Linked DNA regions of Lepisosteus oculatus. The protein of the gene in region 2 interacts with the protein of the main gene of each other region in a pairwise test. Links are inferred from orthologs where the notes say so. Each region holds a gene or a part of one and is shown on either strand. Other genes may lie near its edges. The genes, in order: sarcolipin and tmem79a.

Evidence for each region.
Region 1: the proteins of tmem79a (region 2) and sarcolipin interact in binary tests that used the Homo sapiens proteins (3 or more experiments, as listed by UniProt). The two-hybrid records come from large-scale screens. The link is inferred for Lepisosteus oculatus from reciprocal best matches to the Homo sapiens genes TMEM79 and SLN.

The regions. Positions count from the first base shown.
Region 1 is NC_090700.1:10,182,671-10,194,742, forward strand, and holds sarcolipin, read right to left. Parts: upstream 6,395-12,072; 5' UTR 6,285-6,394; intron 4,826-6,284; 5' UTR 4,713-4,825; coding exon 4,617-4,712; 3' UTR 4,042-4,616; downstream 1-4,041. Other genes in the region: kbtbd3 (kelch repeat and BTB domain-containing protein 3), read left to right, coding at 1-497. UniProt on the Homo sapiens protein: Reversibly inhibits the activity of ATP2A1/SERCA1 and ATP2A2/SERCA2 in sarcoplasmic reticulum by decreasing the apparent affinity of the ATPase for Ca(2+). Also inhibits the activity of ATP2A3/SERCA3.
Region 2 is NC_090722.1:6,312,250-6,324,903, reverse strand, and holds tmem79a (transmembrane protein 79), read left to right. Parts: upstream 1-6,558; 5' UTR 6,559-6,667; intron 6,668-7,630; 5' UTR 7,631-7,733; coding exon 7,734-8,397; intron 8,398-8,856; coding exon 8,857-9,060; intron 9,061-9,319; coding exon 9,320-9,533; intron 9,534-10,015; coding exon 10,016-10,223; 3' UTR 10,224-10,636; downstream 10,637-12,654. Other genes in the region: msto1 (protein misato homolog 1), read right to left, coding at 1-38, 299-416, 1,193-1,355, 1,621-1,678, 1,768-1,843, 1,972-2,041, 2,497-2,632, 3,480-3,563; uncharacterized protein, read left to right, coding at 12,120-12,213.

The DNA.
Region 1 (12,072 bases), on a different chromosome or scaffold from region 2:
ATCCTGAAGCCAGCGCCTGCAATAATGTCATCTACACTTTGGGGTCCGAAGTAGAAATAGCTGACATTTTCAACCCGTCGCTAGACTGTTTCTTCAGGTATGACGCTCAGGTCAACCAGTGGTCAGAACTGGTTGCTGAATTTGGTCAGTTCTTTCATGCCACCTTGGTCAAAGCAGTGCCAGTCAACAATACTCTGTACATCTGTGATTTGTCCACTTACAAGGTGTACAGCTTCTGCCCCGAAACCTGTGTGTGGAAGGGCGAAGGCTCTTTTGAGTGTGCGGGATTCAATGCAGGAGCTATTGGCATTGCAGACAAAATCTACATACTGGGTGGAGACTACGCTCCGGACGAAATAACAGATGAAGTGCAGGTCTACCACAGCAACAGATCCGAATGGGAGGAGGTTTCTCCCATGCCAAGAGCCTTGACAGAATTCCATTGCCAGGTGATGCGATTCAACCGTTACAGAGACCCGTGGAAGGCAGACCCATGAACACACTGTGGTGGGAAGCTAATCATATCCAGGGGCGACTGTATCCTTCGAAAATGAATGGCTTCGTTCTACAGTATGTCTTTCTCTATAGGTTGGCCCTGTTTCATACATAGCACAGCTGTCACTGAATATGCCCGAACAATCACAAACAAGGACCCAGCCAGGGCAAGGTTTCGATCCTGTCGACATTTCAGTTTGTAGGTTACAACATTGTCAAAAAAAAACACTTTATGAGTGCCAAAGCTCAGTTTTTGTGCAAAGCTTTAGGCCATTATCCTTAATAATTTGAGAATGAAGAAATCTTTGTTCAAGTTCAAAAAGACAGCATAAAGCATGAAGACGAAAGATCCAGATATATACATGATATTGTAGATGTAGAGTGGTCGTGTATTTATCTGAACTATTGTTGTATGAAGTTCTTTCTAAAAATACTAAAGCTGATGTGTTTAATGTTATGGTCTAAATCACCTCCTGCTCCTAGCTTCATATGTTCTGACTGCTCGGTGGCTGTAATAATGAGACAGTGCCTACTTAGTCAATGAAATGGCCTTTAGTTCACGACTTTCTTCATTTTCCCAGATACACTTTCAATTTCCAGATCAGGACACGACAGGAAGCATGAACAATCAAATACTGGCAAATAAAAGAAACAGCTGCTGTTACACTTCTGTGTGAGACTACTTCCTTTCTCTTCTTTGATACCATTCAAATAATGTAATTCCTGCTTCTTTCCCTGAAAATATGTATGGAGTACTGTTTCTTGATTTGATCTTTCTTCGTGGTGTGCTTATTATTAATAACAATGATTTTTAAGATTACTTTTAAACTACATTTTTATACAAGATGTACTGTAAAAACTCAACATAATCTATTAATGCTACACGGGCCCTTACAAATGTCATTTAATATTTTTCATACAACTTTACATGTACCAGACACACAGAATACAAACCTGATCATGCCCTTTCACATTATCAGTTAGATTTTGCCTGTTTATCCTAGCAGTCTCTCGTACATTCAAATATATACTTTTTTATACTGCCTTAATAAACCACATAAAATGTGTATCATACAAAGAAACATTATATTATGTACAACAGTATGTATATTAGATAGTATATTTCAATGTGAGGTAACAAAAATGAAGTTTGGCAAATAGGTGTGAGTTTTTTTCCTTCTAAAGCCCTGGTATGTGATCATCCTTGCTCTGTAACAGCTGAATACTAGGGTAACAAGAAAAAACAAGAAAACTTTACTATTATGCATGGCTTGTCAGTGCATCAATGAGCAATGAAAAGGGTTTGGTATGTTTAAGGAAACTCAGCTGTAGTCATGGTGATGCTTGTGTTTATAGTCACGGTCAGAGTGGTTTTGTGAATGGAGTAAGTATTGTGAACTCCGCAGTCCTGCCATCTCATACATCATCAAACTGGCTTTCCTTTCCTGATTTAGGGATTTAGTCGGGCCTGAGCATGAGATGTGCTTTCTGAGAATGGTAAAACTTGTGATTCATGTACATTTGTCATGCAGCAGGCAGTAGAGCATCTGACATCCCTTTACAGACATGAAAAACACCATGAGTCACACTGTATACTTTTTGTAACTATCAATGCTGATTTTGCCTAAAGACAATATAAACAGGATTCTGAGGGGGAAAAAAGCAATATTTTATCCATCATTGTAGTAGTGATGTTACTCAGTGGACTACCACTTTCAAAACTCTCATTATATTTTTAGAATTCAATTTTCTGTGTTAATAGAGGATTTGTAAGAAGGCAAAATGTCTCTTCCATTTCATTTTTGTACAAATGTGTTTATATTGATTCAGATGTTATGCTGCTTTACAATGAATTATGCCATTCAGAACTTTTTTGCTTTATATGTTCAGAACAAAATCAAATGGTGAGACACTGATGCTCAAATCAGTGTATATTTATTCAATTATATTCTAATGCATGAAAAGTGAAGAATGAGTAAATATTGTACACATATACTGTATGATTAAGGCTATGTAAGTTATCCATGCTACCTAACTCTATCTTAATAAAGTAGCCTCGAAGCTGAAGGATATATTATTTGTCTTTGGGTTTTAATTTGAAAGGCTGGTAGTCAATGCTACACACCAAGCAAAGCTACCCTGAGTACCGCTGGTCTTCAATTTCACCCTGGGTTTGCAGTGATATGTAAAAACACAACACTGAAGTCTGTAAGGAAGGTTTTTCAATATTGTTCCTGTGATCCTGTCATACTAACTGTGTGATAAGCTCTCAATAAATATGTTAAAGTTGAAAAATATAAATTTAAGGAGCAATAGGTTATGCAACTTTATCACCCTCTTCTGGTCATAACTAGAACTGTGAGAACCCCTTAAGAATTGAACAGAATCATTCTCTAATGTAAACACTGAAAGATGTGATCTCCAGTAGACCAGTTCTAGTCATCTGCTTATTGAACTACTGGCCAAGTATTGGGAATTCTTCCTTTGTACAAATAAAGTCTGTTCTTTTGTCTGTACAAATGAAGCTAAGATTCTGGAATTTTATATGATGTAGAAAAGTTCAATTGGAAAAAGAGAAATTCAACACCTTAATGTTTATAACAAAATGCAAGCAGCCATGTCACCCTGCAACTTACAATTGGCAACCCACTGAAGCTAAGCAAGTGTGAGCCTGGTCAGTACCTGGATAGGAGACCTCCTGGGAAAAACTAAGGTTGCTGCTGGAAGAGGTGTTAGTGAGGCCAGCAGGGGGCACTCACCCTGCAGTCCATGTGGGTTCTAATGCCCCAGTATAGTGACGGGGACACTATACTGTAAACAAGCGCTGTCTCTCGGATGAGACGTAAAACCAAGGTCCTGACTCTCTGTGGTCGTTAAAAATCCCAGGGTGTTTCTTGAAAAGAGTAGGGGTGTAACCCCGGCATCCTGGCCAAATTTCCCATTGGCTCCTAATAATCCCCCTCCATGAATTGGCTACATAACTGAGTTATCCTCCCACCCCCCCACCCCCTCTGATGGCAGGCAGAGCGACGCGCCAGTTGGAGTATTCTCAGTTGCATTTAATGGCAACGTCAGTTCAAAGAGTTAGGATGAGAGAATGTTTATAACAAAATAATGTTCTGCAAATTTGTGCTCCTGAGAGTTCATCTGAGGTGATACACTGTTGCCCAGGTGTCAGGGGTTGGTCATGTCACTGGTGGACTGTGACAGGTGTAGAATTAACCAAGCAGCTGTTCACAGTTGGCAGAGTTACAGGTCGTTGACCAGTGATCTCTTGGACTTCATGGAAATGGTGACCACCCCAGTCTTAAAGGACTCCCACTGTGTTGCAATATGAACTAAACATCCTGAAGGGGTCTCTTTTAAAGATGAAAGGCTCAAAGTGGGATGGGCTGTGATTCCTATTGATATCTCATGATTTTCCCCATGGTGTGGCTGTGAAATATGACCTGGATGCTGTAAATTGGGTGTTTGCCTAATGGAAATAGAAATAATTGGAAAATACTGTTGAATCTTCATTGACATTGATACAAAACAAAGACAGTCTGACTGAAGCCTTTTTATTATACAAAGTGTAAACGGAAATGTACACAGAGGTTTCACATTTCTAGTACATCTTTGCTTGTAAGAATAATCAGGCACAAATCCAAATGCACTGAAAGAACATTACTAAGGATTTCAGTTGTCAGCAGCTGCTTTCACTCAAGAAGTTGCTCTTGTAGTACTGGAAATGTTATACAAGAACAGATGTAAAAAAAAAAGACTTTGCAACACAGCTCAAAACATTTTTTTTTTGCTGAACTGTTCACTAATGCATACACAGCAGCAGCGAAAATGAAATAGGAGGTACACAGATTAAAGAACACCTGATCCAGTTTATATTTCCGTAGATTATCACTATTACGTCACTGCTTTTAAAGGCCAGACAATTGTACTCACAAGCTTCTTATGGGCAGGATGGTTACAGTAATGAATGCAAGAGCACATGCCAAAGCTTAATCAGCCCTTTATCCAGAGGCAAGCTGGTATGGGGGCTCAGCATATTTAACACTACTTTTCTCCATTGTTGGGACTATAAAAGGTGCCTCTGGAAAGAGAAGCCTGGCTGCACAGGACATGTCTCACTCCTGGTAGGATTTGACAAGGAGCCACATGAGTAACACAGTGATTAAGACAATCATGAAGTTCAGGAAGAGCTCCTGCACTGAGCGATCCATTCTGCTCCGGCCTGAGGACGAGGGCTTTGGAGGGGAGATCTGTGCCAAAGGCTCAGTTCGAGACGCTGGAGTCAGTCGCAGCAGGAAGAGCCACACACCTTCTGCTCCCAAGGCTGGGTTCCGACGGGAAGGAAAAAATAACCGTCACATTCCAGAATCCTGAGGATCCTGAGGCATCCTGAGTGCAAATTTTACCATGGCTCTGTCACTGTAAGTTAATCTAAGAGCTATATTTATAATGCATTCTATTCCACTGTCTTTTGCCTCACTGCATTAACATTGCCTGTTGTTCTATAGCAGATCAACTGGGGATATCAAATGAAATCTTCTGTGTTATCACATCATCTACAACAAATATAAATGCAGAACCTTCATATCCCGTGTTTGTACCACTGGAAATTGTGTTACGGAACTTCAATATTAAATTTTACGAGATAGACAGATACTTTATTGATCCTGTGAGGGAAATTGCAGAACTAGTTACTACTAGTTATAGTAGTGCTACTCAGTTAAAAACTGTGTAGTCTTTCTGTCACAGTGTTCTTAACTTTTTTGAGCTTTGGTTAAATGTATGTGGATGTTACAGAAAGCTGATCGCAAGGGCAAGTGTTTAAGATTCAGCGCCTTTTCTTGCTGAGAAATGTTTTGCGTTTCACCAGGGAAACACAAATCCTCACCATCCCATAGGGACCACTTGATTACTTTGCAGCTTGTCACCCTATCAAGCGGCTATGATTGCTCACTCTAAAAATAGATTGTGTACATAGATTTACAGAGAGATTTAAAAGGCACCCCAAACCCATGCACCAGCTCTGGCCAATTTGCAAAGCTGCTCGTCTTTCATAAGTTTGGAAGCTGCCACGCTCCAGATGATTCTTTGACAGTCTAGAGGACACATGTGAAAAAAGATCACGTTTCAATATAACCAAAATTACTGCTCTGATAGATTCTTGGTGCGTGTGATGTCCTCTTATATTCCACAGACTACAAAGTGACAGCACGTACACAGCATCCCAACATTGTGAACTGGATACTGGTATTTCATTGTTTCATAGCCACTTGTCACTAAATATGCCCATCATCATGGCTGTTTTGATGGTGCTTTACTGATTTCTTTCACGCCTCTCATTTTACAGTTTTTTGCTGAAAACATTACATTAATGCTAACATTACTGTTGCTACTTTGTTGTACCAAAAGCTGTGTCAGGTCTTGAAAAGGATGCATATTATTTCCTAGATGTATTAAACAACACTGAAATCCCTGAACACTGAAAAAATTTCAGAATGCTGACGTTCTGAAATTATTTTGGCCCATGCCTTTTTTTTTATAAGAACTGAGTGTGGATGTAAAAAGGATTTAACAAATTATACAATGTTCTAAAATAAGAATGAAATAAGAATAAATAAAAAAAACAACACATTCCTTCAGCTTTTCTGAAGCTATTACTTTTCCACATATGACTTTATACCTGTAATGAAAGGTGAGTATCCTCTTTCCAGTTTAATGATGGAATCTACACAGGTTTGCGTGGCAATTGAAATAGCCTCTGTCTCATGTCAGCACCTTCTTACCTGGTTCAGGTATTGAGCAGTTTTCCAACAAAACCAGTTACAGTTCCAGGGTTTCTCTGGGGCTCACTGTTCTGCTGGCTGGTGCCTTATCCTCCAGGTCCATCTGGGCTGGGAGTGACTGAGTCTCCTCTAAAGTACTCCGAGGGAGGGGATCACCAAATAATTTGGCAACAAAAGCAGTGATGTCACAGAGTAAGTATTTAAAGTCCTGTTTGCAGACAACAAAGCAAGCCAAGGATTTCTGTGAGGGGATTTTTCGGGGGATTTTGGATATTGAGTTTGTATTTATTGGAATTTTAGCCCCTTGGGGAACTTATTTCTTTTGATGATGTAGATTAAGTCAAATCAACTCTATCAATAATATAATACGCCTTAGTCTATCCTGTACAATATTATATGTTACGTTTTATAGTTCAATGTTTTCTATAAAACTATAGGTACTATAACATTCACAAACATCACATTGGAGTTTTCTAGTGTTTATAGTGGTTTTTGATACTATTAGCACTCACTGCAATGCATTATGTTTGACTAAACCATGACTGACTTTAATATTTAAGCAATTCTTGCTTCTAACCACTAACTAAGCTTTACGTTGTTTTTCTCAGATATCTTTCTTTGCTTTTCTGAATCAGTGGTTACCATATACATGTTTCTGGGCAATGTGCTGTATTTACACAATGGCGAATCTTCAATTGCAGAATAATTCTAAGTGAAAATAACAAGTACAATTATTTGCCAAAACTCACTGTATTTTTAGCATTTTTTCAAAGTTTGCATTTACCTGATTTACCAGCAGAAACAGGATAGACACATTTTATCAACGATACAAATTAACTGCTGAAGATAATGGCTGCATGCTAGGCTAATTACTGTATTCCAGACACAACCATGCTTGATCCTGGACGTCGATTCTGATGCAACCACTGGGATATGATGACTCTGACCTCATTAGCAGGGAGACTGAACATTTGTCCAGTTGTGATAGATGGAAGCTGCCCAGTGGACAGTGGTGAAAGTAATGCACTTCATGACATCCGGATCGACAGCATCTTGTACGAAGCAACAGAGTGGCACGGTTGTCCTGAGTACCTGGAAAATTGATTTAATACGGCAAGTGGACAAGTGGTGGATATGGGGGAGAATACTCTAATTTATAAATGTACAGTATCTAAGGAGTGCACCACAAGAAGACATAAAGACCTATTCTCTGTTTTGTGCCTTGATTCCATTAAATTCCATTGAATTAAATTGTGAGCACAGTTACTCCAGATGGAGGATACTGTAGATACTGGATGAGCCTTTTCCAGGTCCTTCTGTTTCGACTGAAGGATGAAGGTGTAATGAAAAGTGAAACTTTTATCCTGGCACTTACCACGAAGCAGGATACACCAGAGAGGAGACGGAAATGTTAAACGTTGCAGCGGACAATGTGTTTTCTTCCTTTCATTCTGCTCTTCAAAAGAAGAATGTCTTTGTGGATAATATATTTAGTTAATATACTAATGTATTTAGTTATTATGTGATTAATGTATGATCTAAAATACAGCTGTTTGATGTCCAGAAATGAATATGCCGAGTGTAGATCAATTTTCAAGCACTACCATTGAAGTGGCTTTTTTAGGGGCAGAAAATCAGAACTATACATATTTAATATTGTCCAAACCTGGTAATTATATAGGAGGTTGGGAGCCCAGTATTTCCTGGTATCACTACAATATTCATTCCATTGCTAATACAATCATCTAGTCAACATCTAAGAGTGTTTATGAGGACTAAATGGAGTGGGGGTGATCACATATGGTTGGGATATTTTCAAATAAAAGCCTAAATAAGATACCTGCAATACAGAAATCATTATGCGTTATGATTATATTCTCCTAATAACCACAGTTTACAAATTAAAAATATGGAGAACATTTAAAATGTTAGCCCATACCATTGTTTTGTCATTTTGTGTATAGAAGACATTTTGCACACTCATGCCAAATCTTATTGAACAGTGGGACAGTTTTCTATAGGGCTGTAAAACTTGAACAACTATGGGCTCAGTTATCTGCTATGCTGTAGTAGTGGAAAGAGAGCAGTTGGATCAGTGTTGTTAGATCAGTGAAAATTGAATTGCCTTTTATACATTTTATTTCCTAGATATCACTGTATCCTCCCTCTTTACGATTATTTCCTGCTCAGTTACTATTGTGTTTCTTAACAATTCTTGAGAAGGGCTACACTCTAACCTTCTCCTAAATTCCCACAGCAGTCACTGCTTCATACCTCACATACTGTAGCCACTCTGTTCTAAATATAAAGCTACATTCACTATCCTAAATTTCATATGGGAATAAACATCCAGTGTGGCATGAGACTGGAGCTGATACAGTATGAGCCTGTTTTCCTCATATTTTCCTCAAATGTTGACATATTGTACAATATGAATTTGTCCATATTATTTTCTAGTATTCTTGGACACATTTCTAGGGTACAGTGCTTCAACTGAACTGCTATATGAGTCACTATTGACACTCACATTTTAACACTCCTACCAAAGAACAAATTAGGTTCTTGCTACAAAGAAAAGAAAGAAGTACGTGGTTTTTCATTTCTTTTTCGGTAGATCCCACTCCTTGAGTGACTGGAGTGACTCAGGTCACGATTTTAACCAAAATATGAGTTCAAAGTGACAGGTCATATAACCTTCTGCCATTATGTTGAAGGTATTGCAGCTCAGATGTTTTGTGTGTGTTCAACAAGAAAATGCAAAATGCAGAGGTGGGGTCTTAGTGTCCCAGATCTTTAAGCACCTCTTTGGATAGGCAGACAAGAGCTCTGCTTTAGGAACCAGTGTGGAAGCAAAATTCGATGCACCCTTGCAACTTCAGTGCTGTTTCTGTTTGCTGAATGAAAGCCAACAAAGTAGATCATCAGAGTGCAGAAATGTTTCCTGTATTAATCTTCATCTTATGGTAAACATTCCATATGGTGAACATTTATGTTCTGTGTCAAATTAGCTGTATATATTTGCATTTAACAAGCTGAAATATAAGGATGTTTTCTAGAATCCTTGCAATATGACCTCCTTGCAAAACCTTGCCTGCAACCGAGTCCTTCCAGGCTATTTGCCACCTTTAACAGCTGTGAACACTAGTATTGCTCAGCTATTACTCAAAATAGACATTGCTAGATTATTCCATATCAAAGATTCTTATAAGGCACGTCTACTTAGACCCTATTTTTTGTCTTTCCTCCCTCATCCAAATGTTCTACAGAGCCCAGCTTTCTTAAATGGTTAAAGTAAGTTAATATTGGTTAACTATAATTAATAGAAACACTTTAGTAGGATTTCATAATGGATTGTATAAATCAATGATATGCTATCAAGTACGACAATTTCACAAAACTGTAGTTCTGTACAAGTTTGGCCGTTTGTTCTTTGCCTTAGTGATTTCAATGTATGAAAAACAAGTTGCATTTTATATTTAAGGTTTTAATTTCACCAGTTGGATGCAGTAGTTTAACTTCTGGGTCACAAACACCTGCATTTTGGACCCTAACATGTAGAAAACTGAATAGAGTACCAGATGGTCATCAAATGAACAGAGAACCAGACGTCATGTTGTTTGCATATCTTGCTGTAAATCTAATAACCTCACCCTTACCATATATGCTGTACACAAGATGCTGTGTTTATTGCAATTCATCAAAATGAGTGTACAGGAAGGCCTGAAAATGATTAATGTTAGGATAAAGCATCAGTGCCAGTAGAAGGACTTTGTGTAAAGGTCTAAAACATATAACTCATCTCCTGTCTGCTGGAAGTGGGGTCTTGTTAAAGGGATTGCAGGTTAAAAAATTTCCTCATGCTTTTCATTCTTAGTGATGATTCTAGAGGGCACTATATAAGCAATCAGTGCTATTTAAAAAACAGGTCAGATTTCTCAGGAGCATTCTGTTTCATGCGATTAAAATATAGAGATTCCAGTGTAGATCTGCCTTGGCTACAAGGTTGAAATAACAGAGCTTTGAATGCATACTGCAATGATACACCTTACAGTTGAAAAATCCCAACCGGGATGAAGGAGGCCATGGAAAATTACAGACATTTCGAACAGGTGCCTTCAGTTACAGCGCCACTGGAGGGTGCAGGTTTGTCAGTTATGGTAAAAACTAAGGGTTTAAACTAAAGTGTCTGTCCCAGCTGCACTGGATATTGATCTTATTCTGTCAGCTCTGTCAGCTTTAACCTTTGCTGGCTCAATGCCTCTAATTGGTCACTTTCTGTTTATAAAAGGAAATGGCAAATTTAATTGCTGCTCACAAAGGTGTCGTGTTGTATGACGGAGGTTTAAGGGAAGACGTATTTTTAACGTTAAACTAGCTTCCACGGGTCAGTCATGTGCGCTGTTGGTCTTGGCCGTGATAAGTTTCCAGACAGAGAGGGCAGGCCAACAATGTGTCAACTAAGCCACTTGACATTGCTGGACAGGTGGTTTTCAAAATTTGTTATTAAACACTGTGCCGCGTCGTTTGATCCTGGTTCAGCAGCCAGTCATACAATATCACGAAAAAAAGCCCTCAAACAATCAGCAGACTATAACAGACAGGGATGAGTGCAGAATGCAGAGGTTGGATATAGTCTAATTGATTCCCCTCAGACATACAGCTTAAAGCTTGCCGCCATAGGCTAAATTCTTCTTTGCTCTTGATGATTGATCTAAGGTGCTGAAACTAAAGTTGATCTCTGTTTTCACATTGACACCAGCTAACTCACTGCCCTCCCCAAGCCTTCCACGTTAACATAAATAAATACCAAAAAGGTGATAAATACCTAGCAGTGTGCTGGACAGCAAGGCAAGTCTCTTTTTTATTTACACTTAAGGGAACTTCAGTTGTGGTTGCATTACTAATACAGATATGAGACTCATATTTAAAATTTACGTGAACCTTAAGCGTTCATCAGCCTTACAAGAATGAACAAAGCTTTCGGTGATTAAAATCGCCACACAGCGGGAAGCCAGCTGTACTGTAGTGGGAGTGGAAACAATCTACCTTTCTTTCTCCCAAAAGTGTTTCTAAAGGAAATTCTTCCATATTTTCTTTTCAAGTTCGATAGTCTTACTATTTCAATTCATGATTATTTGATTTGGGTTGTTTCACAGGATTGATGCCCTGAAGCCAGGCTACAATACCAAAGGTAAATCTGATTTAGATGAAGGTACCAATAAAAAAGGCTTGCAGTGACTGATAAATGTTCACCTGTCACAACAACAATGTACTTTTTAGATCAAATTACAGTTCTGTGACAGTGCCCACATATTTATACCCCTCTTCTCTTTCAACCTGCTGACCATAAATTCTCAGTTATTAACTTTACCAGAGTCTTTTCCACATTTAAGTAGAAGAATGAACTTAAAGGGACACTATTCTGCAAAGACATCAATTTCCCTTTGAAATGCCACTGTTTCATGTGTCCACAGAAACTGTGCCATCAGGGTATTTTATGAAAAGATTTTCAGCACTAGTATTCCAATAATGTAGGTGGAGTGGTGGCTCTGTGGCTAAGGATCTGTGCCTGTGGCTGGAAAATTGCCGGTTCAAATCCCTTAGCTGGCAGAGGAATCCTACTCTGTTGGGCCCCTGAGCAAGGCCCTTAACCCCAACTCCTTCAGGGGTGCTGTATAACGGCTGACCCTATGCTCTGACCCCAAGCTTCTCTCTCCCTGTTTGTGTTTCATGAAGAGCAAGCTGGGGTATATGAAAAGAGTAATTCCTAATGCAAGAAATTGTATAG
Region 2 (12,654 bases):
GAAAACCCATCTTGAAGGTCACACAGCACCTGGAACCCCTGAGAAAGAACAACAATATGAGCTGCTCCATACAATAGTGGCTACATATTATATAGGACCAAAACTAAATATCCAGTGATTTAATGGAACATTTAAAATGTTACACAGGAAAATGAAGCACTTAGCTGGGACTGAGAAGCCCCAGGTTCTGAGGTGAGCAGATCGGTCAAGGGGAAGCCATGCAGCGAGTGTCCATGTAAGGACTCCACCTACAGTAAAGCTTGCCAAGACAGCGCCACCCAGTGGTGGGAAGACCGACCTGCAGGTAGTCGCACTCCTCCACAAAGAAGTGCAGACGGTCCTCCAGCTGTTCCAGTACTGTGGCGGACCGGCACAGCGCCTCCCCCTGGCCAAACGCCTCCAAGCGATTCGTCTCCCTGCGCAGACATGTGGGCACCGAGAGAGTCTAGCTCAACATACCCAGACCCAGCACACTAGGTCACTGAACCGCAGAGATACCTAACCCATTGCGGCTGTAGTTCTGTACTAGTTAAGAGATAGTGACTCACCATGGATGAGTGCTGTTATCAGATTCCTCTATACCTGTACATGACATGTCATAACTGTAGCTAATCTTCAGTGTACTGAGTAATGATTGTGGATGAACTACCTATAATTTGTAAATAACCCATTGTGTTTTCTACTAGTAGTGAAACAGCTTACTTGACATGATTGTTGTGGTCATAATGGTATCAAGGTTGACAAATGATTGTACTATTGTTAGTTGAGAGATTGTTGTGCATTGCTGTGGTGCTGGTAAAATAATTCTCTCATTATGCTTGCACTGGTCTACAGGGCTAGTTTAGAGAGACAGCTAACCCATGGTGGTTTACTGGTATACTAGTTGAGTCAGTTAACCCATTGTGGAGGTACTGGTGTTCACACTGAGATATAACTAGCCAGTTGCTGCTGTGCATGTTTATGTGTTTAGAGATAACTAACCTCTCACAGCTGTGCTGGTTAAGTAGTTTAGCTAGAACTTACCCATCATGGTTGTATTGGTTAATGGGTTAAGAGATAACTAACCTGTTGTGGTTGTACTGGTAAACAGGTATAGAGATAACTAACTTGTTGTGGTTGTACTGGTGGATGGGTTCACAGATAACAAAGCCCATCATGGTTGTACTGGTTAATGGGTTCAGAGATAACTAACCCGTCGTGGTTGTACTCGTTGATGACCATCATGCTGCGGGGGTGCAGGTGGACCCTCAGGAAGTCAGACCACACCCTCACGCTGCCCTCCAGGCTGTACCGCTTCTGAGCGCGCTCCAGACTGGCGTTCACCGTCGCCATGGCAATGCCGCCTGCCGAGAGAGCTTCCGGGCGACATCAGGAGAGTCCGTCAGACACACAGCACAGCTCCTCCCCCAGCCAGCTCCAGCCCTTTCTTTTTATGACATCTTAGATAAAGTCATTTTCCAAAACCAACCGGTTTCTAATATTCAGACTGTGCACATCAGATGTTTTGGGTCATTTACAAAAGTGCGCAGTCACGTTAAGGGCCTGGAGGCAGGTTTGCTGGAAACACTAAGAGCTCAGTGGTGTGAGCAGGGACCCCACAGAAACACAAGACTCTCTCACCCTTGCTTTCCTGTGCCTGGGTAGCAGAGAAGTCTCCCTCGGGCAGCAGCTGCCCCTCCTGGAGAGAAAAGGAATTACAGGAGTCAGGACAGGCCGCAAGGACTGGGGAGTCCTTGTTATGGGCCAGGAGGGGTGAGGGACACTCACATCCAAACGGTCAAGGTCCTGGAGGAAGGAGTTCTTCGCTGGGGGGGACTCCTTGTGGGTCATCACCTCTCCCTCCCTGAAGAACACAGACAGGGTTACAAATAAGACACAAGTCACCCACAACACACACACACTGCCAGTAACACACACAGTCAACAACACACACTACTAGTAACACACACAATAAGAGAGAAGGTGACTCACCAGGTGAAAGTTCTGACTTCTTTCCCTGTCTCATAGAGGCTGCCTTCCTGCCTCAAGGTACTGAGGCTTCCTGTCGGAAGAGAGAGACAATGAAGGTAGGAGAACTACTAAAGACCTGCAGTGGATCAGACTGCTGTGCACTGGGAGTCTGACTGCCAGCACTGTACAACCTGGAGTGGATCAGACTGCTGTGCACTGGGAGTCTGACAGCACTGTAAAACCTGGAGTGGATCAGACTGCTGTGCACTGGGAGTCTGACTGACAGCACTGTAAAACCTGGAGTGGATCAGACTGCTGTGCACTGGGAATCTGACTGACACCAGTGTAAAACCTGGAGTGGATCTGACTGCTGTGCACTGGGAGTCTGACAGCACTGTAAAACCTGGAGTGGATCAGACTGCTGTGGACTGGGGGGGTCTGACTGACAGCACTGTAAATCCTGGAGTGGATCAGCTTCATTTATATCCCTTCCTTTAAAAAAGAATCGCAGAGTTGAGAGTGCCACACACAGAGCATCAGGCCCACCCTTGAGGTCCAGTGTGATGAGGCGGGGGGTGTAGGTGGTCTGTCCCCCCAGTGTGACCCCCTCCCGGAATAGGACATCACTCAGCAACTCGCTGGGGGGGCTGGGGGAATCCGGGTCGTAGCACAGAGCAGCATCCTGGACAGGGCGGTGAAGAAGAACAGAGATTTTCATTAAGTTTGTTCGATTTTTTTCAAACAACCTGGGGCCACTTACAATACTCTCCCAGGTTAATTCTCTCTAACAAGTGCTTATGACACAGATCACAGTGAGACTGGGGCTCCTTTACAGCTCTCTGTCTGTCCCAGACTGGCAGTGAGATTAATATCCTGACTCTAGAAGGGCTGTGTCTCTATCTGTAACACTGACACAGATCACAGTGAGACCTTGGCTCCTTTACAGCTCTCTGTCTGTCCCAGACTGGCAGTGAGAATTTAACTAAAAGGGAAACTTTGTTTTCAACTGTCCTAGCTGGTAAAATAAAGGACTAAATTGAAACGAACAATAATGATGGAGAATTAATGTGAAAATGTGGTTTTATGGAAAGGAAAATTCATAACCTCTTCACCTCATTTAGAAATTCAAAACTTGCTGGGCTATGATTTGCTAAGACTCTCCTGCCCAGTACTAAAGTCGCACTTCAAACTGTTTGCTTTTCCAATTCGTAACATCATGAAGTTGTCTCTTTCTTTCACAAAAAAATGTAAGACTACTAATTAATTAACAGGATTTAAATAATTGAAAGGAAATGGTCAGATATATCTAAACCTATTTCAATGTACAAGTTGTTTATATGCTGTATATACACGCACCTAGTTTAGAGTTGATGCAATATACATTTAGACATCTCGTAGTGGTGACTCAGGCACGGCCCATACAAATCTGACAGGATATTCTCAATCTGTGGTCACCCTGTACACAATACTACGCATCTATAAACTTAATGTTGATTTTGTTCATATTAAATATTAAATTAACTAAATACCTGCAAATTCCACCAGTGGGTCCCCACATAGTTTGAGAAATGTCCCAGCTGCAGGGTCACAACCTCGCGACACACGTTTGCCATTGTGCCCTACAAACATCCGTCTAACGGGGATAAAATATAAATGTTCCTTCGGAAAATTCATAAAATAATATCAGAACACTCGCGTAAACTCTCACCGGCCGTGAGTACAGGATTCTCAATCTAACCCCAGGCTGCGAAACAAGACCCCACCTCCACGCACAGGTCTTAGTCCCTGGGATTGGCTAACGGGCAACACATCGTATTGCGATTGGCTAAGAGTGTTGTATTTCAGAATGTTCTAGTTTTTCCTGTCGCTCAACGGGTTTGGTTGCACGGCACCAGGGAAACACACGTGGAGCAGCGAGCTCTCTGATTGGAGCGGAGAAGGAAGCTGCTGTCCAATTGGATGGCAGAGGAGAGGAGTAAGCAGGAGCTCGGATTGGTTCAAAATTAGGGGCGGGTTCACGAATGTACACACTCCAGTTGTGTTGTGGACTACAGTAGATAATACTGAACATGTTTACATACGGCACATGAGTTAGTATAGAAGCTGTTTTATCACATTGTTTTTTTACAGTAAAGGTAGTCAATTTTGTAAATCACTGCAGTGTTTGGAAAAGACTCGAAGGTAAGAAATTATCTCTGTCAATACAGTAATATCATATTGTAATACTATGAATAGTTTCAAAGTGATTTCGTGTAAAATTCACTGAATTTCTAAAACAGAATGTGTTCCAAATCCCTACATTTTGTTTTTAGCGAAAAAACAATTCGATCTGCACCTTTTTTCATTCCGATGAAAAATTACATATAGCGCCCTGCATACAGGTGGAGACTCACTTCACTGCCCATCCATGTGGGAGACACACAGCAGCCCCCCTGCACACAGGTCAGGGGGGGAGAGAGACACTGCTGCCCCAAGGGAATCCTGGGAGAGCTTCGGAGAGGTCAGGCTGTACAGCCCAGACTGGAGCCAGGAGACCAGGGTTAACAGATCTACACTTCACTCGTGTATCAATAAATAAACTCAATTACCAAAGATCTGCAAACAGCACTTATGGGAGGGCGGGGTAAGGAAATGATTATTTTTTAATAGTTTGATTATTGGTGTGCCCAGTGCTTGCTGGGACAGGCTCTTGGTCACCATGACTCTGAAGTGAAAAGGGGTTATGGGATGTGATGGGATTATGGGTATTGTACCTCTCAGATGGGGTTCCCAGCCCTGGTCTGCAGGAACCCCAGTCCAACAGGTATTCCGTGTCGCCCTAGAATCACAGAGTTCTAATATCAGGAACCAGTTGACTCCGACCAGCAGCAGGTAACCTGTTCAATGGAGTTATTTAGAAAAGATCTGGAACGAAAGGTCAGAAAACTCAAGGACAAAAGCTCCATGTTTCATTGACCAATGATACATCCATCCCTCCATCTTATAACAACTTATTCCAATTCAGGGATGCAGTGGAGCTGGAGCCTATCCCAGCAAGCAACAGGCGCTAGGCAGGGTGCACCCTGGACGGGACACCAGTCCATCAGAGGGCAGACACACACCCACACACACACACCCTGGATGGAACACCAGGCCAGGCAGGCAGACAGACAAACACACATTCACACCAAGAACAGTTTTCCCACAAGCCAATTAATCTACCTGCATGTCTTTGGACTGTGGGAGGAAAAACGGAGCACCTGGAGGAAACCAACATGCAAACTCCCCCCAGACAGAACCCTGAGCGACTGAACTGTTTTCTAAGCCAGGGGACGCAAACTCACTTCCTAGCTTGGTTGGCATCTTCTGGTTTTAGTTCCAACCTGAGCAGGCAATTAAACAATGTACCTAATGACTAATAATTAATATTTAATAATAATAATTGCTCAAAGCGCTTTACAGGAGCTTTGTGTTTAAATGGCAGAGGAGTCTGGAAAAGGGTGGACTGAAAATGAATGCAGAAAAATGCAGAAAAATCTGAAATAATGGTAATGGAGAGAAGAGGAGATACTATGACCAATGTTGAGGAGACAAATGGAGGAAAACTGAAACAAGTTGATGGCTTTAAATACCTTGGATCAAAACTGGTAAAGGGAGGAGAAACACTGGAGGCAGTAAAACAAAGAGTGAAAGCTGGATGGAACAAGTGGAGAGAAATAACTGGAATAATCTGTGACAGGAAAATTCCTAGAAAGTTAAAGTGCAAAATGTACAAGACTGTGATTAGACCTGTACTACTGTATGGAGCTGAATGCTTGGCAGTTGGAAAGAGGGAAGAGAACTTGATGAGAAGAACTGAAATGAGGATGTTGAGATGGATTCTGCAGATTTCAATGAAGGATAAGATCAGAAATGAAGAAATCCGTAGACGATGTAGGGTGGTGGATGTGGTTGAGAAGATGCGAGAGGCGAGGTTACGGTGGTATGGACATATCATGAGGAGGGACGTTGAGGAAGTAACAAAGAGGTAATGGAATTTGAGGTGGAAGGTAACAGAGGAAGAGGCAGGCCTAGAAAGAGATGGATAGATTGTGTGAGAAAAGATATGGAGGTATGTGAAGTGAGTGAGGAAGATGTGCTCGACAGAGACAAGTGGAGAAGAGCAACCAAAGCAGCTGACCCCAGGACAGTCTGGGACTGAGGCTGTGAAAAAGAAGAAGAAGAAGAAGCTCAAAGCGCTTTACAGGTAATGGGGACTCCCCTCCACCACCACCAATGTGCAGCATCCGCCTGGATGATTAACTTTCTTAATTAAATAAGATATGATGCCCAACTGGGATTTTTGTGAAGGTCTTTTGCAGTTGAGGACTGAAAAAAAAAACCAGTACAAGTACAGCTCCTTACAGTATAAACCAACGTCAAGCCCAGCCGGAAGTATCAGTAATACTACAAGTACAGTTATAAATCACCCCCAGGCCAGGTAGGAAGTATCAGTAATTGTGCTGTTCATAAAAATCAGAGGACCTGGCTGGTGGTACATGGGCGCTCGGGCAGATCAGACACCAGGGGGCACTTCTGCTCTTAACGTTTCTTTCTGTTTTGCGGGGGCAGTGAGGGGACGCTTTTCCTTCCAGACCTCTCCTTTAAGAGCAGCCTGTGCCTTTAACAGCTCCACCTGGGCACACCTGCGTCTCGTCTCGGCGAGAGAGAGACACACGGAGGCTTCGCGGCACGCTGAGTAAGTGGCGTTATAATCGTTATAATCGTTATAATGTCTTCTCGAGAGCACCGGACGTAGAGCGAGCGGGCGTTGAACGTTTGATGAAACATGTCCACATGGTTTCGAAGCGTCATGAACTGGCTGCCGAGTTTGGACTAAAGTGCTCAGTGTGACTTGGCTATCGGAGACGACACACTACGCCTATGCCCGTCTCACTAATACTTATCTCCACGCATTTCTCCCCAAATAACATAACTTTTTTTTTGAAAGAAGGTCTTCTGATAAACAAATGCTTCCTGTAGGCTCCCACTTCCCCCTCTCGCATTCCGAACGTTTGGTAAAAAAACAACAACTGGAGTTCAGCCAATGACAAAAGGCTTTTGGAATGAATGGCGTGTTACCTGACCAATCGAAGGGAAGGATTGATGACTGGGTGGGGCTTTACCTGCATAACTAACAACACCCTGTATGAAGAAACCTTCTCTGTCAGTTTTAACTGGCTTACCTGTAGTTTCCACTCGTGTCCTGACAACATGTCTCTAGCAGTGTCTCCAGTCCAGTCAGGGGGGTGTCAGTGTGTGAATTCAGGGGCAGTGTGAGAAGAGAGGGACAGCAGTGTCTCCAGTCCAGTCAGGGGTGTGTCAGTGTGTGAATTCAGGGGCAGTGTGAGAAGAGAGGGACAGCAGTGTCTCCAGTCCAGTCAGGGGTGTGTCAGTGTGTGAATTCAGGGGCAGTGTGAGAGGAGAGGGACAGCAGTGTCTCCAGTCCAGTCAGGGGTGTGTCGGTGTGTGAATTCAGGGGCAGTGTGAGAGGAGTGGGACAGCAGTGTCTCCAGTCCAGTCAGGGGGGTGTCAGTGTGTGAATTCAGGGGCAGTGTGAGAGGAGAGGGACAGCAGTGTCTCCAGCTAGCTTGTACAAACGGCTTGTTTGAGTAACACAAACAAATTCTTTCCAAATTCTTGTATCAACTTGTTTTCCTAGTTCCTTATTCTGTTGGGTCGAAAACATACCTGCCGGGTCCTGGAAAGTCCTCGGAATAACTGTGGAAGGAAGCCCAGGACAGGCAGCAGAGACCAGTCCCAGGATGCCCGGTCGGATGACCGCGAACCCCGAATCGGAGCTGCTCTTGGACGAGGGGAAGGACCGTCCTCTTGAAAATGGCTCGCTGAGCTCTGTACCCCTCAAACCAGGCCTGACGGGAGAGGGGGCGCAGGAGACGGAGAAGAAGGAAGAGATGGAGGGGGAGGAGGAGGAGGGAACCAGGAAGGGAGAGGGGGAGGAGGAGAGGGGAGTGAAGAAGGAAGTAGGAGAGGAGGAGGTGGGAGTGAAGGAGGGGAAGGGAGAGGAGGAGAGGGGAGTGAAGAAGGAAGTAGGAGAGGAGGAGGTGGGAGTGAAGGAGGAGCAGGGAGAGGAGGAGAAGGAGGAGGAGGTAAGGTCAGCTTTAACAGAGTCCAGTACCCTGCTGTGGTCAGCAGAGAAGCGAGAGGCCGAGAAGGGCAGCGGGGTTCTGGGGGCGACGGGGGCGGAGATGGAGGAGGACCCCCTCGTGAACTCGCTGCCCGAGAAGGCGGCGCAGGTGTTCAGCCCCAGCGTGCGGATCCTGGGCCCCAGGTCCGGCCTGCACAGGAAGTCTGCGGACAGGGAGGAGCTGTGTGTTCACGGTGGGGACCCCGAGAAGAGCCCCTTCCTGAACCGCCAGGGGACCCCCCCAGATGGGTACTGGCCGGAAGATGACGGTCCATCACATGGTAACTTCGGGGCGCCCTCTCCAGTACTCTCTCCATCAAACTGGGGCACCCTAGCCCGTCCCCCCACAAACCTCTAATCCTTAGTCGTCTCTGCCCCTCTCTTCCAGTCCACACTGTGCCTTCCCTTGTGTCTCCCCTCTCCTCCCCCAGGTCTCCCCTCTCTTCCAGTCTACACTGTGCCTTCCCCTGTGTCTCCTCTCTCTCCCGGTCCAGACCTGTGCTCGAACCCTGTGTCTCCTCTCTCTCCCGGTCCAGACCTGTGCTTGAACCCTGTGTCTCCTCTGTCTCCCGGTCCAGACCTGTGCTCGAACCCTGTGTCTCCTATCTCTCCCGGTCCAGACCTGTGCTTGAACCCTGTGTCTCCTCTGTCTCCCGGTCCAGACCTGTGCTCGAACCCTGTGTCTCCTATCTCTCCCGGTCCAGACCTGTGCTTGAACCCTGTGCCTCCTCTCTCTGCAGCCCGTGGTCGGTGCTGCGGTTGCCGTGGTCGCGATGCTCTGAAGTCCCTCTCCTCTCTGGTTGCTGCCGCCCTCATCTTCCCTCTCCTCCTGTGGGGCGGGTTTGTGTTCCTGCCGTTTGACGCCCCCCTGCTCCCCGGCGCCCCCCTGAGGCTGGTCTACACCCTGCGCTGCGCCGCCTTCGCCACCGTGCCCGTGGTCCTGGGTGAGAGAGAACCCGCCCGCCCACCCGCCCTCCTCCTCCTCCTGCGACAGAAGCGGCACGGGTCTCTGCTCTGGTTCCGTCCTGCTGGGCTCACGGGTCTCTGTCCCGGTTCTGTCTCCCCAGGCGTGCTGGTTCTGGGCCTGTCCCGGCTGTGCTGGGCTCACGGGTCTGTCCCGGTTCTGTCTCCCCAGGCGTGCTGGTTCTGGGCCTGTCCCGGCTGTGCTGGGCTCACGGGTCTGTCCCGGTTCTGTCTCCGCAGGCGTGCTGGTTCTGGGCCTGTCCCGGCTGTGCTGGGCCTCTCTGATGCCGCAGAGCCAGGAGCGAGGAGAAGTCTGGGTGCACCGGCACTTCGTCCAGGACTCCCTCTCGCTCTTCCTCCTCTTCTTCCTCAACCTGGCCGTGCTGTCCACCTACCTGAGCCAGGAGACCCTCAAGCTCGTACCGCTGCTCACCGGTCTGTTCGCCATCGCCAGGTGACCCCCTCTTCCTGTCTGTACCCCTTAACAGCAACCGCCAGCCTGACCTGCCTTCTTCCTGTCTGTACTCCGTAACCACCAGCCTGACCCCCCTCTCTCGCAGTACCCCAGGTCACTCTGTGTGTGTGTGTACCCTTGTACCCCAGCTCCCTCAGTGGGGGTGTGTGTGTCTGTACCCCAGTACCCCAGCCCACTCAGTGGGGGTGTGTGTGTCTGTACCCCAGTACCCCAGCTCACTCAGTGGGGGATGTGTGTCTGTACCCCCAGTACACCAGGTCACTCACTGGGGGGGTGTGTGTCTGTACCCCAGTACCCCAGCTCACTCACTGGGGGGGGGGGTGTCTGTACCCCAGTACCCCAGCTCACTCAGTGGGGGGGGGTGTGTCTGTACCCCAGTACCCCAGCTCACTCACTGGGGGGGTGTGTGTCTGTACCCCAGTACCCCAGCTCACTCACTGGGGGTGTCTGTGTTTCCTCAGGCTGGTTTACTGGCTGGCCTTCGCCCTGGGCAGCAGTTTCCGTGGCCTGGGCTTCGGACTGACCTTCTTCCCCGTGCTGGTCATGCTGGTGGCCAACCTGTACTTCACCTTCGTTCAGGAGGGCGGCAGCATCTTCGCCCTGGAAGAGCCCGAGGAGCCCGGCGCCACGCCGCCCCCCGGCCAGCCCCGGCTGAGGTTCTGGGGCTGATCCCGGGTCGGACTGCGGTACTGACTGGGCTGGCCAGCGGATGTGGGGGACTGGCACCAGTTTCACTACCTGGGCTGTCCAGAATGACTCTTATTCGTCTGAAGGGATCTTGGGGGTTGGGGGGGGTCGGCTGAGCTTGACTTCCTCTGCAGCGAAGGACCGGCTGACGGAGGCTCTTCCTGTCGGTGATCTGCGCTCGTGTTTCATTGGCTCACAAGGGCTCCAGCGCAGTTTCCTTCTACAATGTATGCTATTATATTATTAGTAGTAGGATTATGATGATGGTTGCATTTTTTTTAATTGCTCTTCCTGGCTGTCACACTTTCGTGGAGTCCAATTTTACTCAATGCTGCTTGTAAATGTACTTTTTTTTTAAGTTTTGTATGAAAAATCCAGTAAAGCAAGGAAATATTTCCTCGTGTCTTTCTCAAGAACATTTAAGAGAGGGAGACTGCTTAGTCCAGATCAGCCCATCTAGTAGGTCACTGGAGGGGTGGAAGGAAAACCAGATGCAATCCTCACACTCAGGGCTGGCCTGGGGTCTTCCAGTCCGTTCCATTGCAGTACTCTGGAACAACCGACTCCCTTAATTGCTGCACAACTCCTGCTAACTGCCACTGGACTAAGGAGGGAGCTGGGAGGAGGGAAATTCTGGACTGGAGCGGACTGGAAAGTGGTCTCTGGCGTCTCTTCTCTCTGCTCTTAATTGCTTAATTGAACTGGGTGTTTAATGAAGAAGGCGGGGCCTGGACTGGCCCTCCTCTGTCAGACCCAGCAGCGTGGGGGTCACCCGGGATGCAGTCTCTAAGACTGGGGAGCCCCAGCCCCGAGGGGTTCCCAGGGTCCCCGATAAATCCACAGGGCCTGGAGCCCGGGCCCCGCCGGACCGCGATCAGAGGGAGGGGAGAGGATTCCTGAGGGCAGAGAGCTCAGCTGACACCCCCTGACCCTGCAGCTCCACAGTTCCCTCCTCTGGACCCCCCCGCTCCTCTGGTACCTTAAACACCTGGGGGGCCCCGGGGCTGGGGCGCTCTGCTCTAAGCCGCCTGAGTAAACAGATCACCGGCTCCGACTGAACACGCGGGCAAAGCTCTTCCCAGGAGTGCACCCCTGTGCTGAAAGAGCTGCCCCCAGGTGTGTCAGACCGGCTGCAGTCCCTGATGAGGAGACCTGGAGCTGCTCTGCTTCGCCAGGCAGGAGCGTGACAATGACACACTTTACACAAGCAAGGTATTGATCAGAATCCTGCCTGTCTGCTGCAGGTAATTCACACTGATCCACACGTTAGTGTGGACCAGGGAACAACCTCTCTTCTGTCTCCTATACCTTCACAAACAGCCTTAGTGGACCCTTGGGTGGCACTAGAAGACCAGTGATGGTGATCTAGCTAGCGTGTTGATTATAATAATAATTCCTTATGCTTATATGGCGCCTTTCTGGACATTCCCCTCACAGCGCTTTACAGATAATGGGGATCCCCTCCACCACCACCAGTATGCAGCCCCACCTGGATGATGCACCAGTACTCTCCCCACGCACCAGCTCTCAGTGGGGAGTTTGCTAATTACTCTGGCTTAGGGAAGGGTGGTCTATAGGAACACTGCAGATCATTCAGTTAAGGATCTGTAAAAACTTCCCTGTGACTTACGTCACCGCCCCTGACCTGCTCGTCCGGTTCTCCGAATTTACTGTCGGAGGGCAGCAATTCGGGTTTGAGCAGACTCCCCCAGCTTCCACCAGGGGGCGCCTTAGGATCGTGGCGAAGGTGAAGGGGGGCCGTGCACTCTGCACCGAGCGCCGTGGAGGAGACTCTCTCGACCGCCTCCTGGAGAGGGGAACAGCCGGTCTCCCACGACGGGAAAAAAACAGGTCGCTCTTCGCCGCGGCCGGGGAGAAATGGCCGGAGCGCAGTGCCGCAGGAAAAGCTGTCTGTTCCGGCTGTCGAAGGAGAACTGCCCCTTCAGGCGGCTGCGGAAGACCACCGCCTACGGTAAGGCAAGACAGCGGGGCTCCGGGCGCTGCGGCGCTCGGGGTTGTGAAAGTATCGACACACGGGAACCGCAAGTCAGGATACCGACTCGAAACACCGGACTGCTTTACACGGAGGATAAGTACAAAATGAAGCTCTGAAACTGCACCCTCTCCTGCCGCTGGTGCGCTCGTTGTGCTGGTTACGCACTGCTGGCACCCTGCGCGCGTTGGTGAACTTTGTTTACCAGCGCGTGGAACTCGGATAAGTTCTGTTTGCCTGCTCACACACGCGCGTTTATAAAGTCCTCACACGCTGTGACGTGTGTGTAAAAGAGACGTGGATTAGGTTAGAACAAACAGCCTAGCGAGGGTCGTGCGCTTATGCTTCTGGTGGTGTGTGTGTATGTGAAGTTTGGGGAAGTAGTTTTGCGCTGTGGTCTAGTTCCGACATTTCCTGATT